Macaca mulatta: one gene and its partners. The protein of the gene in region 3 interacts with the protein of the main gene of each other region in a biochemical or structural test. Links are inferred from orthologs where the notes say so. Each region holds a gene or a part of one and is shown on either strand. Other genes may lie near its edges. The genes, in order: COPZ1, COPG1 and TMED10.

Region 1 (2,474 bases), on a different chromosome or scaffold from region 3:
GTGGAGATGTTTATTGGTCTAGTTTAGGTTCCTCAATTCAGACAAGGTCCTAGGATTTCTTTCACACACAATTTGGTTTTTTTCTTCTCTTCTCTTGGGGACTCAGGAAAAATGTAGAAAAGCGAGCACTGCTGGAGAACATGGAGGGGCTGTTCTTGGCTGTGGATGAAATTGTAGATGGAGGGTAAGTTCTCTGACCTGCCTTGATCTTGGGTGAGGTAGTGGGATAACTGCCCCTGTCCTAAGTCAAGCAGGCTCAGCGGCCAGAGGTCCTGTTCCCCCACAGTGAGTTGGGCATTCGGGACAGAGTGAACAGTGATCTCTTCTTTGTTTTTGCAGGGTGATCCTCGAGAGTGATCCCCAGCAGGTGGTACACCGGGTGGCATTAAGGGTAAGCAGGAATGTGTTTCTCTGCATCCCCGCATCTATTCACAAACACCCTCCACAGCCAGACCTGCTGGATGTGTCTAGTAGTTGGGGCTCATAGGATACATAGAACCTTCTCTTTTTCTTTCAAATACATTCAGCCTTTCTCTTTCCTTCCCTTCTTATTGTCCCAAAGAAAGAAGAAGAAAGAACTTATTTCTACCCCTAATAAGGTACCTAACATCTCATACAGTCTTTGCACAAAGTGGACATTTAATACATATTTATTTAATAAGTGATAAAATAAACTAATATTTATGGTTTTGAAATTATAAAGGAACTTGAAGTTGGCTTATTTCCTTCTTGGAGATGGATCCAATCATCTGAGGCAGAAGAGTGTCTTTTTTGTCTTTTAAAGTGTTATATAGGACTGGGTGTGGTGGCTCACACCTGTAATCTCAGCACTTTGGGAAGTGGAGGCCGGTAGATCACAAGGTCAGGAGATCGAGATCAGCCTGACCAACGTGGTGAAACCCTGTCTCTACTAAAAATACAAAAATTAGCTGGGCGTGGTGGTGCGTGCCTGTAATCCCAGCTACTCGAGAGGCTGAGGCAGGAGAATTGCTTGAGCCTGGGAGGTGGAGGTTGCAGTGAGCCAAGATTGCACCACTGCACTGCAGCCTGGGTGACAGAGTGAGACTCTGTCTCAAAAATAAATAAATAAATAAATAAATAAAGTGTTACATAACTGAGGATGGTGCCTCTCCATCAGGAAGTACGTATTTGCCAGAACCTCAGAACCTCAGTCCTCTTTGGTGCTAGTGATATCAGAAAGGGGCCTCTGAGTTAACCATAGAAGGCCCCAGGTCAGCTGAGGAGATAATGGTGGATGCAGAGAGCCCACAAGCAAATTATACGGGTGCAGAGATGTCTGAGCAAAGCAAATTCTCCCCATTCACAGAATGTCCTGGCTCTGACCTCCACAGAGTGAAGGCTGACAGTGCTTGGTAATGGGAAATCTTCTCCCTTAACTGCTGTGGGCTCCATTTGCATAGTTTAATCTTCTCCTCTAACATATGTCTCTATGTGGCAAGAGAGAGGGTCCCCCCACCAACTCCCCCCTTTCTCTTCTCAGGCTGCTGTTGCAGCAGTTTATTTCTTCAAATTAACATGCTGTCGTTACCCATCAGGCTTTGCGGGATCCATTAAACCACTCCTGGCTCCCCCTCATCCTTTCCCTAGCAATACTGATACTCAGAGAAGGCCTTTTCTGACTAGAGAATCAGGTCCTCCACCCCCAAGTTAAGGGAGTTGAGGATCAGATAACCTGCTGGTTACTCGGAATGGAGTTAAATCTTTTAAGAAGTCCTCCTGCCTTAAAATGGAAGCTGGATGAAATGACCCTTTTTTGTTCATAGTCCCTCTGGCCAAGTAAAACTGTAGCTGTCCTAGTCCCCAGAAGGGACTGAGAAGTTCAGCGCATCTGCCCTTTGTTTCAGTTTAAAGGATTACTTTTTTCTTCTCTAATACCAGACTCCAATCAGGTCTTACTCCAGCTTTCTCCCACACTAAATGCTTGTATCTCTGTGCCATAGGGTGAAGATGTCCCCCTTACGGAGCAGACCGTGTCTCAGGTATGACTTTCTCCCTTCTTCCTTTCCAGATGGACTGCATCACTAAAGAGGCTAGAACAGCATTCCACCCATACCTCCCAAGTCTGAGTGAGACTGGAGACTCAAGACACATCTTTCTTGGCTCCCTCTTATTCCAGAGAACTGGGACTTATATAGCCAGCTACTCCCTACCCCTACTTCCAACTCCTTTCTTAGTTTCCTGTGAACAGTGGCTGTCAACCTTGCTCTGTACCCTTCAAACCTTCCTTGCCTGATGCCTCATTCAGTGATTTATTCCCCAGCAGAGGCTTGCCTTAAGCAGATGGTCTGTGTGCATTTGTGCATACACTCTCTCTTTCTCTTATTATTCAAATGAGGGCTAAGCTGGAAATGCATATTCTAGAATATGCAGGTTTTGCAGATCCATCTTGCTACCTTGACTGCAGATAGATTGTCTACCTGATGTAGGGGGAAGGGAGGGGTTCTGTTTTCTAC
Region 2 (3,653 bases), on a different chromosome or scaffold from region 3:
TGCCTGTCATTTCTAGGGGATGATGAGCTCTTCAGGAGCAGCAGCTGTTTCTAGTTCAGCAGAAACCTCCTACCCCAGCTGTGTCCTCTGGATTTGACAGATCCTGAATCTCTGTCTCCATTTCAGCTGTGTCTTCTCTGAACTTGACACATAATACTCCCACTGAGTCCACATGAAGGTTCCCCATTCGTTCTCCCATCAGATTTTCACTGAGGCCCTACTCCTGTGGATGTTTACAGTGTATATAAATATAACTTCGACCCAGCTCTTTTTTTTTTTTTTTCTATCATCTCTGGGTGGGCTCAAACAGACCCAGCTCTCTCAAGGAGCTCACTTGGTCTTAAAGCAGCTCCTGCCTCAGGGTCATTTCCAGCTTAAGGAAGGTCCATCCATCCTCAACTGTGACTCTAGGATGACACAATGGTGAATGTCAGCTGTATTCCACCATGACTGTCCCTCTAGTCAGGAGGAGTTCTAACAATCCCCATCCACAGGCTAAGCGTAATGGTCTGCACTCAGATGGCCCTGAGCCACTGCCCCAAGGTCAGACCCCAGAAGGATCCTGTACTTAGTTCCATCGAGCTAAGATAGGAGAATTTAGAAGGGCTATTCCAGTGCATGAAAGGACTGCCCAGCACGGCAAACAGGTCAAATGTATCCAGAAAGCATTTGACAAAAGGAATCAAAATGTCTTAAAATCATGCTTACCCTTTGACCCAATTATTCTCCTTCTAGGAATCTATCCTAAAGAAATAATCTAAAATGCAGATAAAAATTTGTATCTAAAGGGATATTTAGTGCAGCATTATAAATAGTGAAAATATGGAAACCCAAATGCCCAACATTCAAGGAGTGAAAGGTCAATCAAGTTTTGACATAGTATATAACAGTATTTTAAATCCACTAAAAAAATTGTGTTTATGAAGTATTTGTAATGACACTGGAAAATACACTATGGTTTTAAAATAGCAAGGTCTACATTATAAGAATGATTCCAATTATACCACTGCCCCCCAAAAGTAACTCTGAAGATTATGAGTAATGTTTTCCTGTTGTTCATACTTTTGTTTTGTATTTTGTTTTTGTATTTCCCAAGTTTTCTTTTTACACATGAACATGTATTTCCATAAGTTTAAAAAGTTATTTTAGGCCAGGCGCAGTGGCTCACGCCTGTAATCCCAACACTTTGGGAGGCCAAGGTAGGTGTATCACCTGAGGCGAGGAGTTCGCAACCAGCCTAGCCAACATGGTGAAACCCTGTCTCTACTAAAAATACAAAAAATTAGGCAGGCATGGTGGCGGGCGCCTGTAATACCAGCTACTCGGGAGGCTGAGGCAAAAGAATCACTTGGGGCCGGGCGCGGTGGCTCAAGCCTGTAATCCCAGCACTTTGGGAGGCCGAGACGGGTGGATCACAAGGTCAGGAGATCGAGACCATCCTGGCTAACACAGTGAAACCCCTCACTACTAAAAAATACAAAAAACTAGCCGGGCGAGCTGGCGGGCGCCTGTGGTCCCAGCTACTCGGGAGGCTGAGGCAGGAGAATGGCGTGAACCCGGGAGGCGGAGCTTGCAGTGAGCTGAGATCAGGCCACTGCACTCCAGCCTGGGCGACAGAGCGAGACTCCGTCTCAAAAAAAAAAAAAAAAAAAAAAGAATCACTTGGACTCGGGAGGCAGAGGTTGCAGTGAGCCGAGATCGTGCCATTGCACTCCAGCCTGGGTAACAAGAGAGAAACTTCATCTCAAAAAATAAAATAATAAAATAAAATTTTAAAGAGCTAAAAAGTCAAAAACAGCTCCAGTCTGTCTGTCAGTTTCTGAAGGGAGTTGCTTTGCAGCCTCAGCACAAAACTGAGCTTCCTGACACCAGGCTCTTACCACATACTCATCCTCATAGCCTTCGTCATCGGTCTCCCCAGTGGTGGGATCACAGTCCTTGACGGTGAACTTCATCATGCAGCTGAATGTGCAGGCCACTGTGGGGAAGAGAGACTGGGTAGTTAGGAAGTCCCCAGACTGCAGGGGACGGGCTCCTCCTGCAGGGAACAAGCAGGCAGGGGTCACAGCCTGCTTTCTAGGCCCCTGCTATGTTATTAGTAGCAGCAACAAGCCATACAATCCTACAAAGCTGGACAGAGGGCGCCACCTTGTAGGACAGGAAAGTCAAGTCATGAGTTCTAGTGAGATCCTGTCTCTTTAAAAAAATTTTTTTAAAGAAGAGCATTTGGGACTCAGCTATTCTTCTTGGGACTGAAATCAAGGAGCTGAAGCTCTAATAAAAGGCAAACAACTGGTGCCCAGTCGCCCACCTCCTGATCCCATGAGCTCCCATAAGGATAGGGTGGTATCTGGAGAGGGTCTCACCAGCTGTGGGGTCTTCTTTGGGCAGTGCCACCAGTGTGTAGCAGGTCCCAGGCTGGTTGTAGGGCAGGCTCCGGGCAGGCACATAACAGAGCACCTCATAGGCCTCAGTGGGCTCCATCTGCACTGTGACATTCTCCAAGGTCTGGTCATTGAGTGTGTTTGTGCAGTCAAACTGAACAGGGAAGAGAGGGGAGCTTAAACATTGCTCTAGGTCTGATCCATGCTGCAGAGGAAGAGCCAGGAGGTCCCACCTCTTTCCTGTTGACCAAGGTGATTCCCATCCCAGTCCCCCTGCCCCAGGCTCCCTGTCTCCATGCTGATAATCAGGAGCCATGGAGGCCCTGGGTCAAGAGATATGTGAGACAGGCATGTTGGGGACAGATTCTGTCATCAAGTTGGGCTCCCAACCAACACAGTGTGGGGACCCATGTCCCTACAGGACCTGCCAGACCTGGGACAACTCCCTGGGCGCATGCCCCAGCAGGGCCTCAGCCCACCTTGCTCACCTGAAAAACCATGTGGTTGGTGAAGGTGTGTTTGGTGCAGCGGATGACATACTCCGTCTCTGACTCAGTGAGGGCCACGGGCTCAGGCGAGGACTTGAAGAGGGGCCCAAGTCCCCGGAACTCTGGCACCGCCGCCAACTGCTCTGAAATCCACAGGCCACATTCACTCAGCTTCTAAATCCCCAGACCAACTTGTGATGGTTTCTAATAAATTCCCATGACCATTCTCAAGGTGTTCCACCTACCTTAGATGGATAAATATGTTTACCCACCTGGCTACTCATTATTTCCTGAATATATCCATGCATTTTCTCATCTCCCTGACTTTGCTCATGTGATACAACCCCCAACAAATACTCTCCCCATCTCTGTACCATGAAAGACCTCAGAAGCAAAACACTGATATGAGACCACAAAATCCTAGACCTAATTGGAGATTCCCCCGGTTTTAGAAGCTTAGCAAGGATTTCCACCCCCTAGCTCAGCAAGGATTCTTAAAAGAAGGTGACAATTAGGAAAATAAGATCAATTAGGAAAATAAGATCGATACTACTATAGCTACAAAATCAGACAAAGTAACAAACTGGTCCTATATATTTGTCAGTTAAGACAAATGGCCAATAAAGAGATATTTCAGAATGAGAGCGTTGCAGAAAACCCAACTTAGAATGGTCTGTGTCTGGTTAAGACCTATGCCTACACCCTATGGCCAGGTTCAAGCACTGGATTTAAGCACAGGCCCATGGGACCCCACCCTGGCTGGTCCTGGCATTCCTTGCAG
Region 3 (4,142 bases):
AGTGATGGTAAAATGCTAGGGTGTATGCACAAAGTCCTGCTGGGTTTTGTTTTGAGATGGAGTCTTGTTCTGTTGTCCAGGCTGGAGTGCAGTGGCACAGTCTCAGCTCATTGCAGCCACCGCCTCCCAGGTTCTAGTGATTATCCTGCCTCAGCCTCCCAGGTAGCTGGGATTACAGGCACACGCCACCATGCCCAGCTAATTTTTGTATTTTTAGTAGAGACCGGGTTTTACCATGTTGGCCAGGCTGGTCTTGAACTCCTGAACTCAGGTGATCCACCTGCCTCGGCCTCCCAAAGTGTTAGGGTTACAGGCATGAGCCACCAAGCCCGGCCTAAAGTCCTGCTGTTGAGGTCCCTTCACCAGCCCTAGATTCAATGTAATTCCCATAAGGCCATGCTAAACTACATTTCCTGTTATTTAGAGTACTTACTAGAAGCAAGGTAATATGCCTGGCATTCTTGAAAAGATGAATCTGAAAATAGTTCCTACCCTGAGGATACTAACAGTCTAATAAGTAGGTCAAGGCATAAACAAAAACAGTTCAGAAAATAGGTGAGTTCAGGGTACTGTTCAGGGTGGCTCCATGTAGAATGCAAAGTGGGAAGTGACCACACATATAGCTCAGAAACAGATCATGAAGAGCACAACAAAGCATGCTGAGAAATTTAAACTATCAATAAGCAATAGTGAGCCACTGAAGGGCTTTAAAATATAAGAACAAATCAGACAGCAACAGTGGAGATGAGAGCAAGGTCTCTTTCATTGCTGAAATTCCCTGAGTCCATGAACATCCTCTGAAGAGTTGGAAGCATGATCTCCCACCCGGGAAACACTATGTCTAAGCTTCTAAAATCATGCCATCACTATTTTCCTGGGTAGAGAGATGTTTGGTACCCAAAGAGAATAATAAAAGGATGGGTCACAGATTAATTGCCCTGAAAATAGTTTATCTCTCCCAAATAAAGTAGAAATAAACTACATGTATTACCACACTACTGGGTTCCACTACTTTAACATAAGTAACGGTCTTATTATATCTGAAACTCTATTAAAAAGTAAAAACGAGGCCGCCGGGCGCAGTGGCTCACGGCTGTAATCCCAGCACTTTGGGAGGCCGAGGCGGGCGGATCACCATCGTGGTCAAGAGATCGAGACCATCCTGGCCAACATGGTGAAACGTCATCTCTACTAAAAACACAAAAATTAGCTGGGTGTGGTGGCGGGTGCCTATAGTCCCAGCTACTTGGAAGGCTGAGGCAGGAGAATCGCTTGAACCCAGGAGGTAGAGGCTGCAGTGAGCTGAGATCGTGCCACTGCACTCCAGCCTGGACGACGGAGGGAGACTCCGTCTCAAAAAAAAAAAAAAGGTAAAAATGTTTCTTACTATTTAGCATAAGAAAAGCAAGCCTCATTGTGTTACAAAGAAATAAAAAAAGACACTTTACTTATTGTGAATGAATAAAATTACCTAAAATACAACCAAATACTGACAGATATCAAATTATATTAATGTCTCAAAGACCAGGCCAGGCTACTCTTAGCTACAGAATGGGACCAAACTAGTATTATGGTAGTAGTTGTCACCATCCAAGAGCACAGTTGGTATTTACATAAAAGTAGCCAAGTCCAGATTCTGGTATACCAAAGAAAAAGGACTAGAGACTGAGACCATTTTGTAACCAATAATAGACTTTAATCAATTACAGAAATTACGAATTTAAAACAAGGAAGGAATAAGGTTGCAGCGCTTTTCCCTCAACATACTTAACTACCAAACTAAGTAAGAATCTATTCCAACGCAAGGACAGAAAACCAAACACCGCATGTTCTCACTCATAGGTGGGAAGTGAACAATGAGAACACTTGGACACAGGACGGGGAACATCACACACCGGGGCCTGTCGTGGGGTGGGGGGATGGGGGAGGGATAACATTAGGAGAAATACCTAATGTAAATGACGAATTAATGGGTGCAGCACACCAACATGGCACATGTACACATATGTAACAAACCTGCACGTTGTGCACATGTACCCTAGAACTTAAAGTATAATAATAATTTTTTAAAAAAGAATCTATTCCATCTGTGACACTAGTTTATTCTACCTCTGAGTCTCAGTTTCCTCATTTGTAAAATGGGGCTAACAGTACCTATCTACTTCATAGGATAGTGCATGAACCAAATGGTAATATATGCAAAGCAGCACAGTAACTGACACAGCAGATGCTCAATAACATTCTATTAATCACAGCTTTGTCTCCATTACTTTCCTGCAGGTATCGCGGTATCTTATGATGCCAATTCCCATAAATATTCAACATCCCAACACTTATTTGGAGAACCAAGTTACGGTTCAAGGTATCTGAGACCAAAACTGGTATAGGACGTTGACAACAACCGCTCCAGCTCAGGTGTCACCACATCCGCCAAAGCCTCGCAGCCCTTCTTGGGGTTCCCAGGCGTTGGTGCCCAGCCCCGCCCCGCGAAAGGCAACCAGCGGGGTGAGGGGGCGGGCTCCACCGCACGTCCTTTGCGCTCCCCAGAGGCGAGAACAACTCACGGGCCTCCGCCCGCCCGACTCCCCCGAACCCGGGCCTCCCCTCGCCTAAGCCTGCAGTCTTCCCTCCCGGCCCCATGTCGCCCAGTGCCGCACCTTGAGGTGGCTGCGCAGGCCGCCAGCGCCCCCAGACTGGTCGGAGATCTCGTACGCGCCAGTCACTAGCAGGTCCTTGTGGATCTCCTCACGGAGGCACTTGCGAGAGTTAATGGGAAGATGGAAGGAGATGGCGAGGACCAAGCTGGGGCAGAGCAGGAACAAAAGCAGCAACGCCAACGGACAACGGCCACGCCGGGCTGGTGGGCCAGACAAACCAGACATGGTGCTGGAGACTCGTTCACCACCCAAGGCCTCTACCGCGCCGGAACCGGGAGGACCCACGTGACTCACCTCTGACCTACTGATGCCGTCCGCGCCATTTTGGAGTCTGGCAAATAGAGAAAGAATCTGTAGCGAATCTTTTGAAAAGGGAAGAAGGGATAGGTACCATGTCAAAACCACAAACTTAAGTGGTTAAAGAAGCTTTAATAGAATACTGTTGCAAAAGTTTTATTTTCGTTGAACTTAGTGACTACTAAGTCGGCCATGGCAAGTATGGGCAACCCTGGAAGTAATTCTCCTTTAACTTCCGAAAGATGTACCCAAGAGTTTAAAGGCGAGTGACACCATAGCAACCAAGCCCCAATAGGAAACAGCCACAAGACCCTTTGCTGGGCCCGCCCACCGGCCGGCTGGGCGCGCGGGCGGGGAGTAAGGCCGAGTCTCCGAGGCTGAGGCGGGTTGCAAGGCACTCTCGGCGCCTTTGACACCTGGATGACACCTGGGGCATTGAGACACTAGAGAGGAAAATTTCGAGGAAAGATTTAAACTTGGCTATTAGCGAGTGTGGACCAGTACCTTAGAGAAGTTGTAGAGGTTACCTGATGAATGTGTGCCGGGCAGACATCCAATTCATGTCCCAGAGCAGGGTATTTGGGCTGGAGTTAACTGTCTGGCTAACTGAATGTACATGGTGTTATTATTATTATTATTATTGTTATTATTATTATTTTAGCAAACATTGAATGTCTTCTAAGCTATATTCAAAACAAATTTGAATTTGGTATTTAAATTGAATAAAACAACATGTTTTGGTCCAGTCTCAGATGAACATAGTTAAGGGTTTAGCAGATAAGTGTTGTCAGGGAAAGTGAATATGTGTGTGTTGTAAGTTCACAAACACTTTAGGGATCAATTGCAAATAGACAAGCAAATTGACATGGTAATAATTCATACATTCATTCAATGGAGTACCTACTGTGTGCCAGACACTATACTATGCATGTATGTCCACACGTTTATTGATTTAACAAACTATTACTGAGATGCTATCAAATATTCAGAGCTGAAGAATATATGAAAATAAACGGCCGGGCACAGTGGCTCATGCCTGTAATCCCAGCACTTTGGGAGGCCTTGTGACTTTGGATCACAAGGTCAGGAGTTCAAGACCAGCCTGGCCAAGATGGTGAAACCCCATCTCTACTAAAAATACAAAAAAATTAGCCGGGCGTGGTGGCGGGCGCCTGTAATCCCAGCCAC

Evidence for each region.
Region 1: the proteins of TMED10 (region 3) and COPZ1 form a complex in vitro, tested with the Homo sapiens proteins (2 studies listed by BioGRID, with this or other methods). The link is inferred for Macaca mulatta from reciprocal best matches to the Homo sapiens genes TMED10 and COPZ1.
Region 2: the proteins of TMED10 (region 3) and COPG1 form a complex in vitro, tested with the Homo sapiens proteins (2 studies listed by BioGRID). The link is inferred for Macaca mulatta from reciprocal best matches to the Homo sapiens genes TMED10 and COPG1.

What each region holds. Positions count from the first base shown.
Region 1 is NC_133416.1:61,543,443-61,545,916, forward strand, and holds part of COPZ1 (coatomer subunit zeta-1), read left to right. Parts: intron 1-106; coding exon 107-184; intron 185-339; coding exon 340-391; intron 392-1,961; coding exon of another isoform or gene 1,962-2,000; intron 2,001-2,029; coding exon 2,030-2,254; 3' UTR 2,255-2,474. UniProt on the Homo sapiens protein: The coatomer is a cytosolic protein complex that binds to dilysine motifs and reversibly associates with Golgi non-clathrin-coated vesicles, which further mediate biosynthetic protein transport from the ER, via the Golgi up to the trans Golgi network.
Region 2 is NC_133407.1:154,684,852-154,688,504, forward strand, and holds part of COPG1 (coatomer subunit gamma-1), read right to left. Parts: intron 3,047-3,653; coding exon of another isoform or gene 3,016-3,046; coding exon 2,873-3,015; intron 2,539-2,872; coding exon 2,367-2,538; intron 1,979-2,366; coding exon 1,881-1,978; intron 1-1,880. UniProt on the Homo sapiens protein: The coatomer is a cytosolic protein complex that binds to dilysine motifs and reversibly associates with Golgi non-clathrin-coated vesicles, which further mediate biosynthetic protein transport from the ER, via the Golgi up to the trans Golgi network.
Region 3 is NC_133412.1:148,367,982-148,372,123, forward strand, and holds the start of TMED10 (transmembrane emp24 domain-containing protein 10), read right to left. Parts: upstream 2,917-4,142; 5' UTR 2,883-2,916; coding exon 2,658-2,882; intron 1-2,657. UniProt on the Homo sapiens protein: Cargo receptor involved in protein vesicular trafficking and quality control in the endoplasmic reticulum (ER) and Golgi.